2 linked regions of the Callithrix jacchus genome follow. The protein of the gene in region 1 purifies or fractionates together with the protein of each later gene. This does not show direct contact. Links are inferred from orthologs where the notes say so. Each region holds a gene or a part of one and is shown in the gene's direction. Other genes may lie near its edges.

The links.
Region 2: the proteins of WDR5 (region 1) and ATN1 purify together in Homo sapiens (affinity purification with mass spectrometry; 4 studies listed by BioGRID and IntAct, counting the BioPlex papers as one, with this or other methods). This does not show direct contact. The link is inferred for Callithrix jacchus from reciprocal best matches to the Homo sapiens genes WDR5 and ATN1.

Annotation. Positions count from the first base shown.
Region 1 is NC_133502.1:182,724,200-182,727,689, forward strand, and holds the end of WDR5 (WD repeat-containing protein 5), read left to right. Parts: intron 1-996; coding exon 997-1,097; 3' UTR 1,098-2,945; downstream 2,946-3,490.
Region 2 is NC_133510.1:21,193,214-21,196,956, forward strand, and holds the start of ATN1 (atrophin-1), read left to right. Parts: upstream 1-1,295; 5' UTR 1,296-1,407; intron 1,408-3,743. UniProt on the Homo sapiens protein: Transcriptional corepressor. Recruits NR2E1 to repress transcription. Promotes vascular smooth cell (VSMC) migration and orientation. Corepressor of MTG8 transcriptional repression.

The DNA of each region.
Region 1 (3,490 bases):
TGAGGTGGTGTAGCCTGTCTCACTTTGCGGCCAGCTTTGTTTCCTGGGCCGAGGACAGTGAGGTCATTGCTGCCCCATTCTAGAGGCTCTGGCTCCTTTCAGGGATACCTGTTTCTCTCCCAGAGAGACCCTGGCTGCTCATAGCCAAGTGGACCCCGCGGCAGTGCCAGTTCCCAAGCCACCTAGGTCACCCCCTCCCTAGTCCTGGCTGCCCCCTCACCCTCTGGCCCCTGCATTTCCATGTCTCATTGGGCCAGTGACAGCAGGGGTGTGGAGCCCCTGTGGAAATCTGGGGAGGCGCTTCTCCCTCCGTGCGAGCAGCTTCACCCAGCCTGCAAGTGTGCCACCACCCAGTGTCAGCGCTCACGCTCCACGGGCCTGGGCCTTCCTTTGTGTCCTCGCCGGCATTCTGGGGTTTGTTTGGTTTATGTAGGAGCTGTAAACCCTTTGATGTGGCTGACCTTGCACCAGCCTGTTAGATCTGACTGCCCTGCTTTGGGGGTGGACTTGTCCTGTTGTGACAGAGCCAGCCCTGAGGGGCACTCGGGCTCAGCAGTGTTGGGCGGAGGTGAGTGGGCGGCTCAGGGTCCTGAGTGCTAGAGGGATGTGGTCGACAAAGGACTGAGGACCTCGAGGGATGGTCTGACTGGGATCCCTGCGTGCCAGCCTCTCAGCCAGTCTTGCTGCCACGTTCCTCCCTGTGGGTGCCGAGCTACTGCTGGTGGGGTCATGGGGGGCTCCTGCTCTACAGGCGGGATGGCTTTCCCTGCTGCCTTTCTCCCACTGCCCACCCTCCCCGCTATGTCACCCTGATAATGGCTCTTGTTCCCTCGCCCCCCGTGTTGAGGGTAGGCAGCGGGTGCTTGCCCTGAGACCTCCCGGGTGGTGTATAGGTGCTACCAGAGTTTTTGGGGAACAGTGGAGCTCAGTCTGAGTTGGTACCCACAACCCAAGGCATAGGGACAGCTCTGTTTCTGACTGTGTCTTTGTTTTCAGATGTTGTGATTTCAACAGCTTGTCACCCAACAGAAAATATCATTGCCTCTGCTGCGCTAGAAAATGACAAAACAATTAAACTGTGGAAGAGTGACTGCTAAGTCCCTTTGCTTCTGTGCGAGAGACTGTCAGGAAGTTGACCCGGATTGGCAAGAAACATGGTGTCTCGAGCTGGTCCCCCGGGTCTGCGCCTGGGGTCAGAACGGGGCCGGATGTGAGCCTCCTCTTGGAAGATGATTTGTCTGAGCGGAAGGTGTAGAGCACCGGAAGATTCTAAAAGTTGCTGGTGACATTTCTTGCCAATTCTTCTAACACTGTCTAGGGAAAAGTTCCTAGCCTGTTGTGTGCAAAACAGTCAACACAAGTTTTTAATTTTTTATTACAAAAGGGTAAAGTTCAATTTATCATGCGTTGTGTTTTTCAGTAAACATTCTATATCTTGTTGATATTCATGACCCAGTGCACGCTGTGGCTGGTCACCGCCATTGTGGCCCCAACAGCTGCCGCCCCATTCCCTGCTGCGTAGCCGCCCCGGGCTACGGCCCTGACTCCTCTGTTCCTGCTATAGTCGTTCCTGGTGTCTGCGTCTTTCTGGAAAGCACAGTGTCGCGTGTGGTTTTCTGTGTAAAGAGCCTTTTGTGGCCCACGCATGGCAGCATGGTCATCGCACACGGCGCTGCTGTCTGTCTCACCAGTGTCCCTGCAACAATAGCACCACAGACTGTAATAAAAAGGTGGGGCTTTGTGGACAGTTGTGGGAAGTGCATCCTTGTGCAGTGCATCACTATGTGGCCGTCTTGGAGAAAGGCTCCCTTTCCTTCTCTGGGAAGTAAAGGAGGCGCCCTGGCTGGCCGCACCTGCTATCTGAAGACGCCTCCCCTTGTAGGCTGTGCTCAGTGTTGCTGGGGGAGGGGCAGGGTGGGGGTTCTTAGTTGCAAAGGAGCCAAGCTCCTGATGGGCTCCCGTTGGGATGTTGGGGACACCCGTGGCATGGGAAGGCTCCCTGCATCCCTCACTCCAGGTCAGGTGCCAGTGGGACTAATGTGCCTCATGAGGGCTGCAGAGCCAGTGCTGCCCCTCGGCTTCCCATCTCCTGGCAGCCCCAGGAGCGGCTCCTCAAGGGATTGGGTGCTAAGCGAGAGCCTTGTCATCTCAGCCCTCGCCTGCCCACCTGCCTGTGTTCCTGGCCGCGTGGCTACCTGGTGCTCACCTGCACAGCAGTTTACGGGCAGAAGCTGAGCGGGAGCCTTTGGGGAGTGAGGCTGAAACCTGAGCCTGTCTGTGGAGACCTTTGTGGTGGGGGCTGCCATGCAAAGCCAGCCCATGGGGCAGGGCTTTGGGGCAGGGTGGGCTGTGGTGCTCCAGAAAGCCAGCCTGGGTACTGGGTCTGCAAATGGCCCTGGCCCCAGAGCCCAGCCAGCTCTGCCTCTGTCAGGGCCTGGAGTTCTGGGTGAATCCTCCAGCTTTGTGATTGTACCGGCCCAGGGAGGAGGTGGGGGTTTGTCAGGTGGGCTCTCCTGGGGGTCCTCTAGTGGCAGAGGTGAAGGAGGGATTACCTGGGCATCTGGAGATGCGTGTCCCACGGTTTCCCTTGCCCCTCTGTTTCTGATGAGGTGTACAGTTGAGGGACCTGGGCTAAAGTGAGTTGCCACAATGAAATGGGTTGATTTCTGTCTTTGACACTCAGGGTCTGGGCACCCTGCATTTGCCGCCTGTTGTGACAGACTCGGGGAGCTCCACCTGCAGCTGCCCTCCTGTGGGGCACCCCGGGGGCTGTGAGGCTCCTGCAGTCTCGTTCTGCCGGTGGGGGGAAGCCCACTCCGGGGAGGGCTGTGCTGTGCTGAGTGCTGTATCCCTGAATATAGTTTATTTTTTCTACATTTGAATTCTGTTGTAGATTTATGTAAAAATACATTCTTTTTGAAAATAAAAATTTTCATGTCTTCTAATTTTGTCCTGTGAGAATTTCTTAAAATGTAGCTGTCTGTGGGGTGGGAGGGCAGCTGCCCTGGTGGTGGGGTGGCATCTGGTGTGCCAGCGTGCCCCGCAGGACAGTCCTGGGTTTTCACAGTAGCCTTAGCAACGTCATCTATTTGTGCTAATAACGTACATGTTTTGTATTGATTTTCGGCTTTTCGGTATATACCTGTGTGCTAATTATTGACGGTGGTAGGCAGGTAGGCAGAGACGAAGGGAGCTCCTCCAAAGTCCTGCGGCCACCACCGTGCTGGGGAGGCTCTTCTGGGGCATGCGCTACAAACAGGAGCTTGCAGATGCGCAGAGTGTGGCACCCCCGGGTTCCTGTTGCTGCTGCAGGGACTCGCCGCTCTTCCGTGGCTGCTCGTGTCATTGCAGTACAAATCCCAGACGTTTGACCACGTAAGTGAACATGTGGCATGGGGACAAACAATCCTCCAGAAGCATTATTACCATAATGCCATTTTCATACCAAAAAGTCCCCCCACCCTCTTTATTTTATTTATTTATTTTTTAG
Region 2 (3,743 bases), on another chromosome or scaffold:
CCCAATTCTTACATTTCTGATTCTTTTCCCAACATGAACTGCCCCCAAACGCCTTACTGTCTTCCAGAAGCCCCATCTTCCATATATGTCTTCATCTTTGCAATTTTGCTCCCTCTTTATGACTCCAAACTTCCATCTCATTCTCTCTGGTAACAGGCCCCAAACCCATCTGGCTCCATCTCTGCCAGAAACCCCTTCACCCCAAGCTTCTCTCACTTCTCGCCAGGCACCCACAAAGCCCCCAGGCAGCTCCATCTTTCCAATCCAATCCCATTATCCCAATCTCTACCCCAGGATCCCCCAAACTCCTCCCACTTCACCTCTGCCACAGACCCGGTCGCCCCCAAACTTCAGCCTCCCCTCATCTGCCCTCACCACCCACAGCCCCTCCTACCTAGCCCTCTCCCGCGCCCGGCCCGCGGGCTCCCCACATTCCGCCGCGGCGAGCCCTCCCCGCGCCCCGGCCCCCTCGGCCTCGGCCTCGGCCAACTCGCGCGGCGCCTCCCCTCTCCGGCTCCCCCTCCCCCCACTCGCGGCTTGCCTCGCGCTCCCTCCCTCGCGTCTCCCTCCTGGCCCCTCTCTCCTCCGTTCCTCCGCGCTCCCTCCTTCTCCCTCTTCCTCGCTTCTCCCATCCCCCTCTCCCAGGCTCCCTCCCTTCGCCGTCCGCTTTCCTGTGCTAGTCGCCGGACGCGTCGCCCAGCCCGTCTGCAGCCCCGGGCCGGGCCGGGGCCTCCGGCCGGGCCATTTCGGAGAGACCGCGGCCTCGGGGAGGGGCCAGAGGGGGGCGAGGGGGCCGGCCGCCCGGGAAGGGGCGGGGGCCGCGGGCGAGGCGGCCGAGGGGCCCGGGATCGCGCGGGTGCGGGCTGCGCGCGGCGGGCGGGGGCGGGCGGGGGCGGGCGGCGCGGCCCGGGGCATTCCGGGCGGCCGGGGGGAGGAGGCAGCCCGGGGAGGTGGGGAGCAGAGCGGGGATCCGGGTTTGCTCCGGGGGCCGGGCGAGGGAAAGGGGGGATGGGGGCCGCCCTCCGGGGGTGTCGAGGCCGCAGCCGTCGTCTTCGCGGCTGCGACTGAAGCCCAGGAGAGGAGAGGGGGGCGGGGGAGTCGCCGCCGCCGCCCCCCGGAGGCGCCGGAGCCCGGAATCCCGCTCGCAGCCCGCCAGCCGTCCCGAGCTAGCAGCAGGTAAGGTCTGCGGCCGCCTGGGCCCCGGGCCCGCGGGTTCTGTCCCGCTCGGGCTCGGGCCTGCGGCTCCCCACCCCCACCCCTCCCAGTTCCCCCTCCCGCCGCCGCCGCCTCCGTTTGTTATTTTCCCAATCCCGTCCCCCCACTGCGGGCTCTGCCTGGCCCAACGCTGGGGGCTCAGGGGGTGGGGCCCGCCGAGGAGGGACCGGGGCCAGGGCTTCGGAAGGATCGGTAAGGTGGGAAGGCGGGAGGGTCTCTGGAGGAGGGCTGTGGGGGCACAGGGTAGCCGGGACCTGCGGACCCAAAAGAGGAGGAACATCTAGGAGGGGGTTGGCGGAGGAAAACGGGGGATGCTGTGAGTGGGGTTTGGGGCGAAGGCAGAATGGATAGGAGAGATGGCAGCGAGGTGGGGCATTGAAGGCTCCAGGAAAAAGCTCCAAAGGCCCAGAACACGGGTTCTGGAGCCCGGGGTTGGGGGTGTTAGAATAGACGGTAAGTGGGAAACGGGAAAGGGGTGTGGTAGGTGGAAAGAGAGGGATTGTGGCTGATAAACCTGGGGAAACGGAGGCTTGGGCAAAGAGAGGTCCATCTTTGGGAAGAGCCGGAGGTTTTCCAGCGTGGAAGTGGAAAGGCCATGTCTTTGTGACTCAGTTTTCATTCCCCTACTCCATGTCACCTCTGACCCTGTTTTCCCGATCAGACATAGTTACTTCTTGGAGAGGGGCACGGGGGCCCAGTAGTGTGGGTTATCCCAAAACTAACGAGAGGGAAAACAGGAACACAGAAGGGGGAGTTGGTAAGAAAGGGTTTCTGGGAGGATGGAAACGAGAGAATTGAGCAACCTTATAGGCACTCCAAGCAAGTTGCAACCTCCACCTTCAAATTGCCTAGCATCTGTGGCCCCTGGAACTGTCATCTGTATAGGGAGGCCTTGGTTACTGCTTTGAGCTCAAAGATCTCCTTTTGTGCTTGAGCTTATTTCGACTAGGGCAGGTACCCTTAGGCTCCCCCGGAGGTGCTATAGGAGGATAGGAGTTGCATTGGCAACTGGGAGGGGTGGCTGCCAGATGGACCCCTGGAATGGTCTCTTGAGGGGCACCTTTTGCCACTGTGTTGCTATGGCAGTGATCCAGTGGGATGTCCAGTTTGTGGGGTGGGGGTGGGGCTTCAGAATGTTGATTGGACCTCAGCTTGTGGCTATGTCCTTGGGACTCTGGGCTGGGTTCTGTAAGATGTTTCTGGATCTGTTGGTGAATGGGAGTTTCTCCACGGTGTGCACCCTTTCATGTTGCAGTCTGTTGGAACAGGTAGATATGTTCCTTGCAGATCACAGGTGTTTCTCGGAGTTTGTCCACCTAGGCATGGTGGGAGGATGAAATGCTCCTGTTCAAATTACACCATCTTTTGGCAGTTGGTTGTGACCTCTCCCTCCCTTACATTATTTTTTGTAGAGTTGTATTTTTGCGTCTTTGCACTTTTCTTTCATTTTCTAAAACTTGAATTCCACTTTGAGCCTCCCTTCTTGAGTAAACCCTTTTCTTCCTTCCCTCAACTAACCTTTGGCCTTGTAGAAATGGCTGAGCTCTCAGGCCCATCCCAGGTGAGGGTGGCCCAGGGCAGAGCACTGTGAAACAGCCCATGCAGGGGAAATACTATAGAACAGGAGCCAGGAGACCTGGGTCTAGACTTGACTGTCTCTCTGTGACCTTGGGCAAGTCACTTCTCTTTGAATGTTGGGGCTTCATTTTTAAGAGGAAGGGGTTATAGATGAGAAGATCTCTGAGGCCCCTCTGAAGGTCCTGGATCCTCAGAAGGCTTAGGCCAGTGCATTGTTATCTGGTGGTCTGGGCTTCATTGTTATCTAGGAGTTAACTTCGGACTGTTTTGTGAGTCTGGCAGGTCCGGAATGATGATGGGGGCTGGGCCAATAATCCTGAAATATAGCCTGCGAGCCCTTCCCAGAGAGCTTGTGACTCCACTGTATTCCTTCTGACATCCTTCCCATATTTCTCTCTTAATTTCTTTTCCTGTTCTTACTTAGGGGCTCTTTTTCTACTTCTCATTTCCCCCCCAACCCAGTCTGGTCTTAATCATTTTCTTTTTGAAGGTAATGAAGGTGAAGGTGCCTAGTGTGTGGTCAGGTACAGAGTAGGTGCTCTGTAATATTAGTTACAAGGATTGCTTGCTAGGAGTGTAGACTGGTGCTAAAACATGACCCAGGTCTAGAAACACACACCGTCCAACCCTAACTCCTTCCCTCCTCTGCCACTCCTTGTCCCCAGGATTACTTGCTCTTTTATGACTGCTTTTCTCCTTCAAAGCTACTCATTGCTAGTTTTATCAGATTTCAGATGATTAAAAAAGAAGGGCATACTATGATTGCTGTGTTCCACAGGTACATTCTGTGTTTCTCTGACCTTTTGGATCCCCTAGCCTAACTGACTTGGTGAACAGGTTCTGTGATGGGGAAGGGAGAGCCTCAGCCTTCTCTGGGAAGGCTGGCAAAGATACACCAAGTCATCTTTTTTATGCTTTTTAAGATTGTTTTCCTCTTTTGCTATGGTGGG